Linked DNA regions of Caenorhabditis elegans. The protein of the gene in region 1 interacts with the protein of each later gene in a pairwise test. Each region holds a gene or a part of one and is shown on either strand. Other genes may lie near its edges. The genes, in order: cec-6 and sdz-12.

The links.
Region 2: the proteins of cec-6 (region 1) and sdz-12 interact in a two-hybrid assay, tested with the Caenorhabditis elegans proteins (one large-scale study listed by BioGRID).

Annotation. Positions count from the first base shown.
Region 1 is NC_003282.8:5,543,112-5,549,204, forward strand, and holds cec-6 (Chromo domain-containing protein), read left to right. Parts: upstream 1-1,748; coding exon 1,749-1,904; intron 1,905-2,316; coding exon 2,317-3,081; intron 3,082-3,129; coding exon 3,130-3,871; intron 3,872-3,922; coding exon 3,923-4,366; intron 4,367-4,413; coding exon 4,414-4,759; intron 4,760-4,812; coding exon 4,813-5,035; 3' UTR 5,036-5,348; downstream 5,349-6,093. Other genes in the region: tebp-2 (SPK domain-containing protein), read left to right, coding at 37-679, 739-987, 1,040-1,255.
Region 2 is NC_003280.10:3,729,504-3,733,763, forward strand, and holds sdz-12 (Zinc finger protein sdz-12), read right to left. Parts: upstream 2,321-4,260; 5' UTR 2,046-2,320; coding exon 1,929-2,045; intron 1,806-1,928; coding exon 1,749-1,805; intron 1,685-1,748; coding exon 1,544-1,684; intron 1,488-1,543; coding exon 1,269-1,487; intron 1,226-1,268; coding exon 1,046-1,225; intron 979-1,045; coding exon 880-978; intron 829-879; coding exon 649-828; downstream 1-648. Other genes in the region: bath-31 (BTB domain-containing protein), read left to right, coding at 2,523-2,635, 2,681-3,216, 3,261-3,412, 3,455-3,574. UniProt on the Caenorhabditis elegans protein: Together with ehn-3, may play a role in gonadogenesis.

The DNA.
Region 1 (6,093 bases):
TCGTTCATAATCCATCGTAAAACTTACTCGTTTCAGCATCGAGCGAAAGTTTAACGTAAAGCTCCTCGTTGGAATAGACCGCAACTTGATATCCTATAAGCTTTTGGATGCAGAAGAAGAAGAAGTGATTGAGGAAGACGACGAATCGGAAGAAGTTGCTACTCTAGAGGTCATGGATGTTGATGATGAAGATCTGGATGAGACGGTTCCACTTGAATCAAATGAGGCCATGATTCATATGGATGAAAATCTCGATACATCAGTTTTGTCTAACAAAACGATGGATTCTGTGAACAATCTAGAGAATTCTATCACCGAGAGTACAAATGACTTTACCGTTTTCGAAGGTACAGCTGCCGCTGTGCTCCTGCCTTCTGAAGTTGTATCTCAAGATGTTTTTGGATCACAATCCGACTCAACGGTTCCAGAATCTGCTCCAGAGCCGGCCGAGATTTCTTCAAGTTTGGTGGATTCTGATGATCTGAACTCGAAATCCGCTCAACAAGTCTTGGACGATGCAGACGATGAAGATATGGATTTGATGAACGCTGATGTGATCTTGCCCTCTGAAGCCGGTCAAGGGTCTCGAGACGTTTTCATATCACAATACGACTCAACGATTCCAGAGTCTTGTAGCTTTGATGAGTCCATTCAAAATTCGTCCAGGGTGGAAGAGGAGGTAATTTTAACCCAAATTTACACTTGAATAATAGTTTTTTAAAATTAATATTTTTCCAGAAGCCATCTTCCCACGTCCCATCATCGTCAGCAGCTGAGCCCGTGTTGAAGTTACCTCTGGTGCCCCAGTTATGTCGAACAGTTCCCGGTGCTCCAGAGCCAGCCAAAATTGTTCCAATTTCGGTGGATTGTGATGCTCTGAAGTTGCAAGCCGTTCAACAAGTTTTGGACGATGCAGACGATGAAGATTTAGATTTGATGGGCTCAGCGCTAGAGAAGGCTTTTGGAAACCAGGAAAATTGGACTGACGTAAGAGAATGATGCAGAAAAATATAGAAATTTAATCGGTTTTTTTTTTCAGAAGTCCGCGGCGAAGACCGTTACAAGTGATGCCATTACCAACGCGATTGAAACCAAATTCACAGGAATCTCTCGCGAAGTTCTTCTGGAACAGAAGGAGCGTCTCGTAGAAGAGGCTCTCGACAACGTCGAAAACGAGAAGGTTCTCGAAGTGCGCACAGAAGCCATCCGAAAAGCGCTCATCGAGGTTGATTTTGGGCCAACCAATAACTGTTGAACTTGTTTTTTTTCTATTCTTCCATTCAATTTCTCTCACAGTTAATGGATTTTCATTCTTTAGCCTCAGCCCTAAATAACTGTTAAATATTTTTTGTTTCTATTTTTCATTCTTCTTTTTACTTTATCTCACAGTTAAAGGGCTTTTCTCATTCGTTACCCCTCGCCATAAGCCCTAAATAACTGTTTAATTTTTTTGTTTCTATTCTTTTCAATTCACAAGTTTTCATTCTCTACCTCTCCTTCAATTAAAATCAATTTTGTTGTTCTCGAGATCTCCCGTTCATCACAAAAGCGTGTTAAACAACACTTCAAAGAAACGGATTATTTATTCTTTTTTATTTATTTTTCATCTGTCAAATACATTTTTTTAAGAATTTAAAAAGCTGGAATTGTTATATTTTAAAGTTTGCTCAAGTTCTTTTCAATATTTGCAACGCCAATTCTTGTTCCAGATTTTTTAATTATTTTGAAAAACCTGTTGTAAATTTCAGATGTCTCATGATAGTTCAGGAGAATATATGGTCTCGCAAGTGTTGAAATGCGTGAAATTCAAGGATCTCGTACGGAAAGCACTAAACGCGGAGGCAAAATTCAGCCCGGCCTCGGTCGAATATGACAAGCGAAGGCATTCAAAATATGCGTACTTGGTTGGTTATTAGGCAGGATATGTACGAGAACTCGTACGTTTCTATATGTTCTTTCATCTTTCGTTCCCGCATGACTCATATCAGCATTATTTGATATTGCATTTACCACAATAACTTTTGTCTAAGTGCCCCGCCATTACGATAATTTCTCCATCCCATTTCTCATGTTTTAGATCTTCCCTAAGTTTTGAACTTTTCTTTTTTTTCATGTTGGCAAGTAGTACATTCATGTACATTTATAAAAGATTCGATTTTGTTCTTCCAAATTAGAACTTGTTCAAAAATTTTGAAAAAAGTACAAAAACTTATGGGAAGACCTGATATTTATAGCTTATCTTTATTACAATAACAGTCATTGTCTGACCTAAAACTTCTTTGGAACAACTGTTTTGTAAAATTGGTTTCATTTCAGGTGCACTGGCGAGGTTACGATTGGAAAGAGCGCACTTGGGAACCAGAGGAGAATCTCGAAAATTGCGAGGAGCTACAAAAGTTCAAGGAAAGAAACAATATGTCGTTGGATCATCTAACCTTCGAGCATCATTATGAGCATTCTACGTGGAGAAGGATTTCGCTAGCAAGCGAAAAATGTGTGACGAATCGATATTTGAAGACCGATGACGAGATTGAAGAAAAGAGAGCTCGGAAAAAGGCGAAACTCGAAGAACAGAACAGGAAAGAACAAGCGAAAAACCCCCATGCTTCCGCAGAAACTGAACCAGCTGTGAAGAAGAAGAAGATAGAAGGGGTAGGATCCAGAATTCCAAAGATCAGTGATCGGGAAGGAGCTGGAACATCAGGACAATCGTCTAGCAATGTTTCTACTCCTGGGATAACACCACTCGACAACAAAACTCCGAGAATGCAGAAGAAATCGAATGAAATAGGCCAGGCTTCAACTCCAGAGTGTGCAATCGCAACATTATCAATTGGCACCCCACAGCCTTCGATAATAGATTCCACCTATGACCAGTCAGATATTGCAAATGGTTCCACAAGTCCCCAGCCGCAGCCTGTTTTCAAGAGAAAAATGAATGGCCAAGATGTGTCCGATTATTCTGTTCATCAAGGAGGAACATTCAGTGACGGTAGTGCCATAGAAGGTTCCACTTCTCGTGAAAGTGAGGATATGGACTGCACTCAAGAGACGAAAAAAGCTTTACAGAAAGCTATTGAGGTATGCACGTTACAGATCCTAGATTTCAAAAACTTTACAAAATTTCAGAGCGCTCGTGAAGAATGTGAGGAGATAGAGAAAACGATCAAAAAATATCCTCTGCAAGTAACATCGTCTCGTGTTGTTACTGGATTTTCACCAGCTCTAACTCTCAGAAAATTTCGTCGTTGTCAGTCACTCGAGATGCTTTCCGATCATTTCAACAACAATGCGGAAATGGAAATTTTCGGAAAGAACTTTGAGAACTCTGTCAGATTGGATGCGGACGCAAAACCAGTGGTTATAAAGATTTATCCCCAAGAACAAGAACTATTTCTAACGAAGCAACGAAAGATGCCTTCACTTGAAATGGAGCAGCTGGTTTACGAGAATCTTGTTAAGGAAAACGCCAATAATATCAAAATAGCAATGCATAATATTCGGCCAGACAAGAATTTCGCTCAGTTGCTGGAATGCTTGTCACACGCGTATTCCAAAGATGACAATATTCGCTTCGAAACGATCTTCAACGAAGGATTCCCTCCGAGTGATGAGTACGATTGTCGAAGATTCCAGGCGATCGTGTTTCTAATAGCCTACTGTAAACACCGTCTCTGGAAAGCTGATCCCAAAGGCATGGCGATCGTGGAAGCATCCGATGCGGTGAAAGAAGGAGAAATTAGAGAGCAGCAAATCATTTGCTCTGATAGGCATAGAAAATGTGCCTGGCTGCAGGTTTTCTTGAAACTGATGCCAGACCGATTCAAATTTCTGGAAACTTCGGGACAATGCTATCACGGCTGGGAAGGAGGTAACGAGATAAAAAAGGAGAATAAAGTATTTATAAAGCATCTTTTTTCAGATGACGGGCCGTTCCGCGACGACGTATTCTTCCATTGCATGAAATATGGAGCCGAGTGTCAGAAGCGTCTATTCCTCGACTTCAACAAACCGATTGGAATCCAAGAAGAAACCGTTGGCGATTACAGTGTCGACGCAATGCATCTTCTGGCTGTTCAATATGGCAATATTCAACGAATCCCGTCCTATTTATCAATCGGTGGACTCGATATAAATGCTCTTGCAACTCACTTGCCAACAAAACGAGTGATGAGACTTCAACATTATTTGAAAGTTTGGATAGAGGCACATAAATCCGAGACGACAGCCACAGAAGATCGGAAGAAGTACTATCGATACTTGAATGATGTGATTCGACTTACCAGTGAATCGTTGGAGATTTTTCTGGAAAACGAAGTTACAAAAATGATCTTCTCGCGTATGGGAGGACGATGGAAGATTAGGAGTAAGTTTTCGTTTCCCATAAAAAATATTTGAAACTATTCATTTCAGTGGATCTCACATATCCTCACATTCTTCGATGTTCACCTCTCAGCAACAAGTCCAACGGTGGTGATGGAACTCATCAAGTATTGAGTTGTCTTTTTTATCCCGAAGCGATCGGATATCGTGATGGTTTGGAGAACTCTAAAGGAGCCGACACTGAAAAAATTGATGAGCTGAAAACAAGTCAAAAGCGATACAAGAAGATGATCGAGGAAGGGAAGGGTCGACTTGTTCTCGCCTTATATCGAATTGACATTGAGTTTCGCTGTAATCTGGCCGAAAAGGAGCAGTTTTCTTTGCCAAAATTCACTCTGATCGAAAGTGATGACGGGTTCAAAATTGAAAAGTTGACGTGAGTTTGTAGGCAGAATCTGGTCATCTGATGAAAAAAAAACTATATTTCAGATTGCTCCGTCAAACGGAAGGTCTCACTTGTTACGAAGCCGACATAGGAATGTTCGAAATGACTCCGTTCTCATCGCCGGGCTGTCGATACTTTGGTATTTCGGACAAAGCTCACGAAAAAGATCTAGTGGTTCCCGGAAATGCGCATATCGAGATGAGAGCAGAAGTTGATCAGCCGATAAGCTTTGTCACTCAACTTTTCTTCATCAAAAAGAATGTCTAATTCTTCTTATTTCCATTTCATCCTTAAACCCATCGTGTTCAATTATCCCCTCTCCTTGTTAAATGTTTGTTTTTTTTCTTTTTTGATGTTAAAATTCCTCTTCGAACACGGTCAACATCTGCTTTAAGTTTTAGAGTTCATGATACTCAACTTTCAATTGTTTCAAGATCTCCCAGTTTTCAGTTTGGATCTCTGCTCGTATTTCTCCCCCGAATCGCATTTAAGGAATATGTAGTTCCATTTTTTTCTCAATAAGCTTTTTTATTCGGTTGAAATTACTTTTTGAAGCCGAAAATAAACATTAATTTTATTCAAAATAATTCCGCTATCTAGTAATCATTCGTCTTGAATCGACTATTGGAGTTATTTTCAGATAATTTTCTGTAAGCTTCAGAAAATTGAAAAAAAAAACATTTAGTTATGTTTAAAAAAAAACGTTTTTTTTTATGAAACTCTTTATTATAAAATTGAAGAATTGCAAAAAAAAAAGAGATTTTTCCAATTTTTCAAATTCTAAATTTTGCTCCAGTTCTAGTACACATTTGAAAGTATGCATGTACATCGAAAAACTCACTAAAATCTTTCGCTCTTCATATAAAATTTTCATCAAACTGATGTAAATTCTCTCCCCGTTTTTTCGCCTTTTCCTCTCTTCGTCTTCATCAGATTCTCACGTGTTTTCATTTTTTTTCTCATTTCTTCTCTTCAGACACATACATAGATATACAAGAAAAAGCTGTCAAAACATTGTCTCTTTCTCCATAAACCTGCGTCTCTTACTACTCGCTATGAGAAAAAAAAGAAGAAAAATCTTGAAAATGTGTAAAAGTATGCATTAAAAAGCATGTGAAATCCCACCGAACACCGGCAGCCTAGAAAAATCCATTTGAAACAATTCGGCCATCAAAGTGTTCTGTTCCTTCTTGTTCGCCCCGGCGACCGATCAATTCGTTCTTTCTCTCCGCACTCACTCATTTCACTCGCTGCTGCTACTGCTGTTTCTTTTTCTTCTTCCAATTTCTACTCGTGATTGAAATGTGTATATGCGTAGGGGTGTT
Region 2 (4,260 bases), on another chromosome or scaffold:
CGATCCGCAGAATTCGCAGGTGTACCTCTGAAATAGATAAGTTAGATAGAGTTAGATAGAGATAGATAGATTATGATGCCAAACGCTATCTATTAAGCACTAACGTCTTCGTAAGAAGACAGCCCAAGTCCACATTTGGTGTTCCGTATGTGATTGCTCAGAGATTTCTGAGAATGTAATTACTTGAACTGTTGCACCTTGCGCAATTCCTGAAAAAAAATGGATCCTTTATTAATTAATTTGTGAAAATTTTACAGTACCTGAGAATAAACTGGCACAAGAGCTTGAGCTTCAGGCAGGTCCATTGATAAGAGAGTAGAGGTGAAGGAATAAATGAACCCGCGCAGAGTGTTTTGGTGGGGCGCAATTATCGATTTGGCGCGCGGTATTGGCAGAGAGCAAATGGGAAGGAGAGTGAAGAAGATGTAGATAGAAAAAGAAACTATGCGTAGTTTGATCTACCAGTCCTGTATTCTGAAGACCAACTAATTGTTTGATTACTCCATAAAATCAGTGATCACGATAGAATAGGGTACTGTAGGTTACCGTAGTTATCAACAATTATCAGTTTCCTTCAAGGGCGAGAACGAGATTCATTGAGTACTTTTAACAAGAAAAAATATTAATTAAGCAGTAGAATCTTATCAATTAAGTTCCTATGCCACCAAAATCATGACTCGCAGTGATGATGTGCATGGTGAACACGATCTTATTTCCACATTCTGCTCCACAAATTGCACATTTGAATGGGCTTCCTGGCGCGTGAAGGGCGTTATGCATGATGCTCATTGTGGCATCGTGGAACTTGATCGTGCAGTGCTTGCATTCCTGAAGAGCTTTTGAGTTGATGAAAGTGTACTTTGAAACTTAAGAACTTACAAAGCTTGGGGTTGGCTCACTGGTAATTAGATTTCTAAACCTTGGCTCATTGGGGCTTAGAGTTGGTGAGAGCTGTTGATCAGTGTTTGGAAGAGTTGCCTGAAAATTTCAAGTCTAATGGTTTCAAAGAACGGCACCAAAACCAATATTGAAAATGAAAACATACCGAGTTCTGTTCACAGAATTCTTCGATCATCGGGGAAGTTCCTAGATTTATGCTCAATTTTTGAGGCGGCTTCTCTTGTGGCGAGATTGCCAACTGAGCTCTGGGACTTCCTGAAGTTGATACGGTGATAGGTGACAGTCTGGCGGAGCTTGTGGGAGCAGGAGCCGAAGAGCGCAGAGCCTGAAAGGATTGTTAAGTCTTAAAGAATTATAAAGCTTTTCACCTCTTTATGATCAAAATGGTAGTGTACCAGGAGATGCCTAGGACTCCCGAATAACTTGTGGCATTTTCCACACGGAGCCGATTCGCTGTATGAAAAGTGGTGATGGTTTACGAGATGATTTTCAACGCCCTCATAGAATACGAACTGCATTGAACAGTTCAACACGGGACAGTCGAAATGTGATCTTTCCTTGAGATGGTTGTGCAGGTGCCTTTGAAGCTGAAAATTACAAATTGCTGGAATTGAACAGGAAAAATGGAATAAAATCTGCTTGCCTGATCTTCCCTGAAGAATGTTCTCTGGCAAGTGCTGCACTTCTTGGATTTTGAACCAGAGTGAGTTATTTGATGACGCTTCAAGTTTGGCTTGTTGGTGAATTGTTTCTCACAATTTTCACATCTGAATTTGTGATTGACCTGAAAAAACGTATAGTTGGAGGAGGAGAAGCTCAGTGGCTTAAACATTTTCTCAAAAACTCACCACATTGGAACGTCCAGGCCTACACGTAATGTGCTTCATGTGCGTTCTCAGCGTTTTCTGAAAAATGGTAGTGAGCTCTATATACTAACTAGCAAAAAAAGGAAGATTATCTGCTGTACAGTAAATTTTGTAAAATTAAGATAAATTAACAACACTTTTTTGCTCACTTCAAAAACTAACCTGATTCGCGAACTTTCTTTTGCAAACTTGACACTGGGGCACCTTAGCAGAATCCTGATCCAAAGTGGAAGAGGTTGCAATAAGCGACAATACGGCGTCTAGTGATGACAAACTCATTTTCACAGAAGAAATCTCTGCGGATTGTCCGAGGGCAGGGAGGAAGGGGAGTGAGAAATGTTTTTGCGTAGTTGCAAAAAGAGGTACATAAGTTCAAAGACTGTGTCCTCGAAAGCTGTGAGAAGTTGCGTCACATATGACGTTGGGGCTTTTGGAGAAGCGGGGCCGACGAATTTATGAAATGTGTGTAATTGCACATTGTAGAGCTGATTGAGTTTTTCAGTATCTCAGTTTTTTCAGTAATTTCTCCATTGACGATGCACCTTCTTTGGGGGGAATATTGTAATCTTTAACAAAATTCACAACATTTTTGGAAGACCAGCTGCCAACTGTGCCAAATTTGCCGGGAAACGAGACGCTGCATTATGCATTATTTTATCGATCCACTAAGATTATCTCCTAGCGTTATTCACTCATAATCTGCCTCTACAAGTCTTCCTATTCGTCATTTTTCTGCAATTTAGTAGGTTAGTAGACATGCTCGTTATAACAAAGGAATTTGTGTCAACTTACACTATTAAAGCAATCTCCAACTTCAAGCCGGATACCACTTATTGCAGCGAGGTTAAAGAATATTACTATATTCCATGGTATTTTTAACTTTCCTTTTTTTATTTAAATTTTTATATTTCCAGGAAACTCCATGTCAATCGAAGAACTGATCAACTTGAGGTGTATCTTAGTTGCGACCAACTTGGCACAATTTGGTCAGTTCAGGCGAATGTTGAAGTGAAGCTTAGATCTCCCAATGAATCTCCCCACTGCAAAACAGCCACTGTAAATTTCAATAGTGAGAAGCCGAAGGAAAACTCATGGGGATGGAAGCAGTTTGCCGATTGGGAGAAAGTCGCAAAAAACTTTGTGATTGAAGATGCGCTACACTTTAAAGTTCATGTTCAAATATTGAACGCTTCTGGGTTCAAGGGAAGAGATCCGGTTTTGAAGTTCGACAATGAGTCTATGGGAGAGCTGTCCGATGTGGTTTTGGTAGTGGATGAGCAGAGATTTCATGTTCTGAGAAAGCATCTCGCTCTGCAGTGCTCCTACTTCAAATCCTTGTTCTTTGGCAGTTTCGGCGAGTCGAAGAAATCAGAGGTTACCCTCTCTGGGATAGACCCGGAAGCCTTCCAGGCATTTTTGGAAGTTCTCTATTTGGAGGACTCGATTGATGGTTAGTTTTTAGTGCTCACATTGGTAATAATTTAAAAATTTCAGACAATACCGTCGAAGGAATCCTTCAACTTGCTGACATGTACGATTCTAGAGCGGTTATTGGGAAATGCGAGAAATTTCTTTACAAGGAGTCCGAGAAGTCCGGGAAAAAGAAATTGGAATTGGCAATTAGATACAAGTTGGAGAAACTAGAGGTAAGTGCGTGCACCTGAATATAACCTTATTTTATCTTCCAGATTCACTGCTGCAACACCATCAAAACCATCCAAGATGTCCGCTCAATTATCGCTGGAAACATTGATGAAATGAGCCCATTCCTGATGAAGCGGGTCTTGAAGCGAGTTCTTGAAGTTTAAAAATTGTTCGTTTTCAAATATGAATTGCATTTTTCTAATAACTGATTTTTGGCCACTATTTTTTCTCTGTTTTCAATTGTAAAGTTTTATTTGCCAGTACAAAAAATAAATTTACGTTTTCTTTATATTATATTGATGAGAAAATTTGAAGACTTACAGAAGAAATTCAAATCATGAACCAGACCAAACCAGAAAAAGTCAAGTCAAGAATTCAAGAAACTTTTATCTAGCATTTCATAAAGTATTTTGATAAGACATATACATAGTTATATTTTGTGGAGTTTAAAAATATAGTTTTGAAAAGTGAAGTTCAAAAACATAGAAAAATAAGAAGTTAGAGGTTTCGAAAATAAGCTTAATTCGAAAGACTCGAAAAAAATCTCAAAAACTGGAAAAAATTGAAGATTTCAATCGTCGGACGGTGTTTGACAGTAACTCGTCGTCGTCGTCGTAAATAGAAGTAGTGTTGATTAGAAAAAACGATGGAATAAAGAAATCAGAACCTCCAAATAGAAAAAGTTCCATGAATGTTTTTAATTCGATAGGCACGCATGCCATGAACATCAGATTCCTCGGCTGAATTAGGCATTAGTAGCTCTGGGCTAGAGTGGGGATAATCATTGTAAATGTAGAAAATGAAAAGTTCAAGGTCTGGATTCAAAGCCTTTAACCCAGAGCTTGATCAA